2 linked regions of the Canis lupus familiaris genome follow. The protein of the gene in region 1 interacts with the protein of each later gene in a biochemical or structural test. Links are inferred from orthologs where the notes say so. Each region holds a gene or a part of one and is shown in the gene's direction. Other genes may lie near its edges. The genes, in order: MDC1 and CDC27.

Region 1 (3,823 bases):
GTGCCAAGTGAGAACTAATTGCTGGAGAGAAAAGAAAGAAACAAACAAACAAACAGCTACTGCCTTGTGTCTGCCCTTAAGGTGCTCATAGTTGAGTGGAGTATTTCTTCTTGGGAAACAGATGCTATCAACCCTTTCTCTTCTGTTCCCTTTTACAGTGATGAAGAGGGGCCTTCTCCTGCCCCAGATGGCCCTGGGCCACCTTTTGCCTTCAACCTGGACAGTGACACAGATGAGGAAGAAAGTCAGCATTCAGCAGCGGGAGAGGCCTCCTTATCTGCCAGAAGAGGCCCCACTGCAGAAACAGAACAGCTGAAAGCTATGACACCTGCAACCCAGCTTGGAAAGGATCAGTGTTCAGTGAAGGAGAGGAACAATAACACAAAAGTTGAGAGGGATGCAAGGAATGGGGTGGTCTCACTTGGGGGGATTCTGGAGAGAAACCAAAGTGCTGGGGAGGACAGTGACACAGATGTGGATGAGAGCAGGCCTCCAGTAAGGCCTGCTGAAGTCCATTTAGAAAGGGCCCAACCTTCTGATTTCATAGACAGTGATACTGATGTGGAAGAAGAACGGATCCCTGCAACACCAGCTGTAGTTCCTATGAAGAAGAGGCAAATCTTCCACAGAGTTAGTACAAAGAGTCTTCAGGAACCTGCTTTGGTACATCTACAGGAGATCCCAGCTGGTAATGATACAGATGTGGAGGAAAGTGAGATCCAACTGGCAGTCCCTCTGGAGAGAAACCAAATTTCCATGGTGATTGACAGCAATACAGATGATGAGGAAGAAGTCTTAGCAGCACTCACTTTGGCACGTCTGAAAGAGAGCGGATCTGATACATGGAACAGAGGTACAGATGTGGAAGAGGACAGGGCCCAACCTGTGGCCCTTCTGGAGCCAAGCCAAACCTCTGCTGGGAGAGATAGTAAGACAGACGTGGAGGAGGAGGGTCTCCCAATGGAAAACAGAAGAACTGTGCCCAAGTGTCATACAGACAAGGCATGCTCAGAAAAGAGGCAGTTTCCTCTCCAAGACAGTGATCTAGAGGTAGATGAAGATAAGAGCTTACTTGAGGTCCACCTGGAGAGAAATCAAGCCTCTGCCACCATAGACATCACACAAGTGGAAGAGAAAGTCCTACCAGGACCAGCTATTATACTTGTGGAGAAGCATCAGGTGCCTGTGGTATGGACAGATCAAACATATGTGGAAGTAGAAGGGGGCCAAGCAAAGCTGCCTGTGATGCACCTAGGGGAACCCCAGCCTCCTCTATCTGAGGACTGTGGGACAGATGTGGAGGAGGACACATCCTTAGCAGCCTCACTGGTGGCAGATACTGGAAAGCACCAGCTTCTAGCAGAAGGGGATGCTGGGACAGAATCGGCTGCACCAGTTCTTGAGCAGGAGAGAGTTCTTGAGGCGAGGGCCCAGGGGGTTTCACTTGTATCACAGGTGGAGCAAGATCTTCTCCCTGTCTCAAAGGAGAACCTTATAGATCTGGTGGTGGACACAGGCACTTCAGGAGAAACCATCCAACCACAGAAAGAGGGAGCCCAGACCCCCACAGAAAGGAAGAGAGAACCACATGTGGACAGGACCAAGAACTGTGGAGACAACCATGGTGGTAAGTGCTGGCCTTCTTCCTTGACCCCGAAAAGAAAGAACGCTTATAGAATATCTTAGTCCACTTGGGGTACTGTAACAGAATACCATAGGCTGGGTGGTTTATAAACAATAGAAATTCTTTCTCATAGTTGTGAAGGCTTAGAAGTCTAAGATCAAAGTTCTGGTATGGGGCAGCCCCAGTGGCACAGCAGTTTAGCGCCCCCTGCAGCCCGGGGTGTGATCCTGCTGGAGACCTGGGATCGAGTCCCACGTCGGGCTCCCTGCATGGAGCCTGCTTCTCCCTCTGCCTGTGTCTCTGCCTCTCTCTCTCTCTCAGTCTGTGTCTCTATGAATAAATAAAATCTTAAAAAAAAACAACAAAGTTCTGGTATGATTGTGTTCTGATGAAGACCTACTTCCTTGTTCATAGGCAGCTGTTGTCTCACTGTGTCCTCATATGGTAGAAGGGCACAAGCTAATTGTGGGGTCTCTTTTATAAGGGTACCAATCCCATTCAGTGGGTTCTACCCTCATGACCTAATCATCTCCCAAAGACCTTACCTCCTAATAAAATCACATTGGGGATTAGGTTTCAACATATGAATTTTGGGTGGGATACAAACATTCAGTCCATTGTAGAGGGCTTGGGGTTGGGGAGAAAATGGTAGAGAAAGAGTAAGGAGTTAAGCATGAGATATGACTTATCTATCTTATATTGCTCCCCCATCAGATTCTGAAGACCTGGACCTACAGGCTACCCAGTGCTTTGTGGAGAGAGAGAATCAGAGCCCAGAAGGTGAGGGCATCTGTGTTGTATGGATGTTGGTGCAAGTGGGAGCTGGGAGCCCAGACTGGTGGTCCTTGAAGGTTGTGAAAGCTGGTGTAGGTGGGGCAGGAGGCCAAGAATGGGTCCCCAGAGTTCTGTGGAAGAGCTAGGCGTGAGCCAGCTTTTCTTCTGCAGCAGTCCAGAGCATGGAGGATGAAGCCACTCAGGCCTTCCTGGCTACTCTACCCCAAGAGTCTGGCCCTTCCTATTACAGCTTCCAGGCCTCAGGTATAAGAAACTCTATCCTTCATGCTCCTAACTTGGCATCATTGCTTTTTCTCTTTACATGTTTCTTTCATATTCTTTGACTTTTTACTGACGTTTCTCCATCTCCATCATTTTTAAAGAGGCTGCTATGAGAACTTCTGTATGCATCTTATTTTTTTGGTCCTCTTCCCAACTTTCCTTTAATGACCAGCTTATGATTATGATTATTAGGTTTATTATTCATGAATTTTTTATTTTAAAAATTTTATTGCTTTATTTGAGGGAGAGAAAGAGAGCACACCTGCACGATTTGGGGAAGGGGTGGAGGGAGAGGGAGAAACAGACTCCCTGCTGAGCAGGGAGCCCCACGTGGGGCTCAATCCCAGGACCCAAGATCATGACCTGAGCCGAAGGCAGGCACTTAACCTACTGAACCACCCAGGCATCCCTATTATTCATGAATTTATCTTAATCTTTTCTCATCCTATTTATTACTTTCCCAATCTGCATCTCTCTCTCTCTGTGTGTGTGTCTCTCTGTCTCTATCTCTCTGTCTCTCTGTCTCTCTCTGTCTCTCTCTCCCTGACTCTACTTCCAGGTGCCCTGGATGAGCCGTGGGAAGTCTTGGCAACACAGCCATTCTGTCCAAGAGAGTCTGAGGCCTCTGAGCCCCAGCCCATTGCTGCCCACATTGATGCCCATGGATCTTGCCCCTCTACACCTAGGACAGCACCACAAGCCCAACATCCAGAGAGCCCAGTTCATGCAGAGCCACTGGGGATTCAAGGCAGAGGGATGCAGACTGTGGAGAAAGACATGGGTACACCAAGAGAAGCACCAGAGGAGGTGGCCCCTGAGAGAGGCCCATTGGACAGGGAAACCAAGAAGCTGCCAGCAGGAGAGAGAGAAGATGTGTTAGGAGAAGAGTTAACTAGAGGGATACGGGTGTTAGCTAGAGATAATCAGGGACAAGAGTCTGACCAAAAGGTGAAAAGTGCAAGTACTGAAAGGAACATGGAGAGTTTAAACATAGAAATTGAGATACCCAGGGAGGCACAAGAGAAAGAGACAGAAAAGCAGTCTATTGCAAGAGAAATATTTGAAAGAGAAGCAGAGAAACCAGTAGTAGAGAGAGAGGGTGAGCCAAGTGGATTAGGCATGAAGGTACCAGAAGTAAAACTG
Region 2 (3,823 bases), on another chromosome or scaffold:
AACTTGATGTTTTAAGTTTGCTTACCTTCTAAGAATTAAATGAAATCCTTATATCTTAGGGTTTGCCCTTTAAAGGAAAAAAAAAAAGAAAGAAAGAAAATATACCCAGGCAGTTATTAGATTCCTTTTTTCTAAACAGAATAAACCTTGATGTGGTTGTTTGAATTTATAGGGAAATAATTTCCCAAGTATCCATTGTTTTAATGGTATTTATTTGTTGCCAAATATCCCACACTTAGACTGTCTGTATCCAACTATCTTTCTCTAACTCGCTATGGTTGCAAATGAGAGCTAGAGAGTATTAGTTTATAGACATGTTTATCATTTATTGATCCAGAATTTTTATGTGGATTGTTTTAAGTTCAAATTAGCAATTTCATATAGAGTGAATATCCATGTTATAATTTTTATCATTTTATGGTAACAGATAACTTTTAAATCCTGAGTTTTCATAGAGGGATGACAAATAGACCAACCAAACTCAAGAACTTTAGAGTACAAACATGATGAATGCATTTTTTAAAATGTATCTGAATTGAAACAAGTAATGGTCATAAACTGTTTTTTTTTTTTAAGTCCACTTTTATCTTTTTTTTTTTTTTAGTACAACACCTCAGGTATTGAGCCCCACTATCACATCTCCCCCAAACGCACTGCCTCGAAGAAGTTCACGACTTTTTACTAGTGACAGCTCTACAACCAAGGTAATTTAAAGATTTCTGTTATATATACTTAATGCTTAGCCTTCTTAAATTTCTGTTCATTGATGACTTTATCTCAAACACAGAGACTATTTTAATTTTTTTTAATTTGTAAAGCTGTCTATAACATTTGTAGATTTTCTCCGTCCTTTAATAATGTCCTTTTTAAATAAATATTATAAAACATTGTTCAAAAGACAAAATTATTATGATGGGAAACAAATTAGTGGCTATTAGGAGTTAAGACTGTGGGGGGAAGATGTGACTATTAGAGCATAGCACAAAGGAGTTTCTTTGTGTAGTGGTCGAACAGTCCTGTATCCTTATTGTAATGGTTGATTATGCGAATCATACAAGTGATAAAATTTCATAGATCTGTCACACCAAAAAATAAGTACATGTCAAAACTGATGAAATCCAAATAAGATCTTAATTTAGTTGACAGTACTGAACTGATTCCAGGGTCATGGATTTGTTGATGTCCTGTGGTTATATCAGATAGTATCACTGGGAAAATTAGAGGGAGGATAAATAGAAGTTTTCTGTGTTTTCTTTGCATATTTCTTTGTACAGTTGGAGGGCCTCATTATGCCCTTGGTAAATTTTCTTGGTCCATTGACAAATATTATGGATAATTTTTAATTTTGACATCAACAAATCAACAGTTTTATGACTTACCAGTTACAATGCTCTGAGACAACTAGGTAGTATTACATCCATTTATTTTCTTATTTTAAATAATAAATGAAAGTGATACACTTTGAGAAAAGAGCAACGAACACATAATGCTGATTTATATTACACACTAATTCGTGAATACAATTTATTTTGCATTTAAAATTAAATGATTTTGAAAATTTTGTTTCTGTAATTTTTTTGTGAGAAAAATATAGCCCAGTCAAGACTATATATTTATTTTGTGTCTGATACTTGAGAAAGGACTGGGAAGTCTAAAATACATGAGTTTAACAAATGTGGAATTTTTCTCTTTTTTACAGGAGAATAGCAAAAAGTTAAAAATGAAGTTTCCACCTAAAATCCCAAACAGAAAAACTAAAAGTAAAACTAATAAAGGAGGAATAACTCAACCTAACATAAATGATAGCCTGGAAATTACCAAATTGGACTCTTCCATCATTTCAGAAGGGAAAATCTCCACAATCACACCTCAGATCCAGGCATTTAATCTACAGAAAGCAGCAGCAGGTCTGTTTTAAATGCTTAATATCTTCTTTGTATTTTATTTTATTCACTTTAAGTTTTTTTATGTTCATTAAAGTACATTCCAGTTTTTTCTAGATAGATATTGGAATTTTTAATAAATTATTTTGTAGTTAGCCTTTCTAAAAAAATCAAACTGTTTTATTGTGTTTTTCTCCTTTGTTTACTATATTGTTTTCTCCTAGAAGGTTTGATGAGCCTTCTTCGTGAAATGGGGAAAGGTTATTTAGCTTTGTGTTCTTACAACTGCAAAGAAGCTATAAATATCTTGAGCCACCTACCTTCTCACCACTACAATACTGGTTGGGTACTGTGCCAAATTGGAAGGGCCTATTTTGAACTTTCAGAGTACATGCAAGTAAGTATAGAAAACTATTATACATGCCTTTTTTAGAGAGAATTTAATTAAAATGCCTATGCTCGAGACAGATTTAAAAGGTAAATATTTAGGGGTACCTGGGTGGCTCAGTCAGGTAAGCATCCAACTCTTGATTTTAGCTTGGGTCTTGATCTCAGGGTCATGCATTCAAGTCCTGCATTGGGTTCCACACTGGGTGTGCAGCCTGCTTAAATTTAACAAAACGAGACAAAAAAAATAAAAGGCCAATATTTATTATGTAATGTCTTTATGTATATTTTCTGAGCATTTTAATTTATAAATAGACAATTTTTTCTTGTGTTAAGGGGTAATTCAAATTTGAGGGAATTGCTTATTTTAGAGAATCCAAGTCATCTATATGTTTTGTTATGTTTGGTTTTAAGATTTTATTTATTTTAGAGCTCAAGTCAGGGGAGAGGCAGAGGGAGAGGGAGAAAGAATCTGAAGCAGATTCCATGTGAGTGCAGAGCCTTACAAGGGCTCTATCTCAAAACCCTGAGATCATGACTTGAGCCAAAAATCAAGAGTTGGACGCTTAACCAACTGAGCCATCCAGGCACCCACATTCGTATATTCTTAGACAGACATTTGTACCCTGCTCAGTTGGATCCAAAGATATATTACCATGTAATAGATATTTATAATCAAAATTTTTTTCTACTATATGCAGAGTTCCTACTGGGATGAATTTCTGGCATTTAATATGTTTTATAAATTTGAAAAGTGCCATAAAGAAAACTGTATATAATCAAGGACATAATGTCCTTCGCAAGGCTTTTATCCTTTTAATTATGTTTGTTGCTTAAGTTACTTGTTTACCAGGAAAGAAGAAAAGAAAATTCTGATTTTTAATTTAAATTTTGTACCCACTTCACCCCTAAGTATTTCCCTATTTACTTTCATTTATTCAGTGCATATTATAGATTAATATTCTCTTCTAGACTCTGTAATACAGCTAGACAAATAATTGCTTGGCTTTCTAGAGCTTGCATTCTAGTAAGAGATTGTAAGCCAATAAATGTATAAGGACAGGTAGCAATAAGTCATAGGAAGAAAAAAATGAAGCATGGTAAGAGAATTGCAGGACAATAATAAATATGTGGTGCTATATATTAAAAAAACATGCTCAGAGAAAGGAGGTGACTCCTTCCTCCATGAGCCATGCAGATCTGAGAATGAAGTGTTCTTCCAGGTAGAGAATAGATACAGAAGATATTAACTCATGTACTTTTGTATGGAAAAGAAAGAAGTATTGCTGTAGACAGATAGCCTTATTCATTGCTATAAGTTCCATGTTTGGATAATGGTCCTTTACTGATACATAGACAAAAGCTATGTTTGGCAAGCCCTTTTCAAAATTATTTCTAATTTGTTTCAGAGGTACTTTAAAATACATAATTTTAATTGTTTCCCTCTAATTATAGAACAGTGACCCAGTTACTAACTAAACAGAAGCCTTTGTTTCAACTTAATTTCATGAGGGGTTTTTTTTCCCCCTTTTTTCTTTTTGTCTATGCCACAA

The links.
Region 2: the proteins of MDC1 (region 1) and CDC27 form a complex in vitro, tested with the Homo sapiens proteins (2 studies listed by BioGRID). The link is inferred for Canis lupus familiaris from reciprocal best matches to the Homo sapiens genes MDC1 and CDC27.

What each region holds. Positions count from the first base shown.
Region 1 is NC_049233.1:640,793-644,615, reverse strand, and holds part of MDC1 (mediator of DNA damage checkpoint protein 1), read left to right. Parts: intron 1-158; coding exon 159-1,627; intron 1,628-2,338; coding exon 2,339-2,404; intron 2,405-2,569; coding exon 2,570-2,662; intron 2,663-3,239; coding exon 3,240-3,823. UniProt on the Homo sapiens protein: Histone reader protein required for checkpoint-mediated cell cycle arrest in response to DNA damage within both the S phase and G2/M phases of the cell cycle.
Region 2 is NC_049230.1:17,538,329-17,542,151, reverse strand, and holds part of CDC27 (cell division cycle protein 27 homolog), read left to right. Parts: intron 1-604; coding exon 605-704; intron 705-1,699; coding exon 1,700-1,907; intron 1,908-2,107; coding exon 2,108-2,280; intron 2,281-3,823. UniProt on the Homo sapiens protein: Component of the anaphase promoting complex/cyclosome (APC/C), a cell cycle-regulated E3 ubiquitin ligase that controls progression through mitosis and the G1 phase of the cell cycle.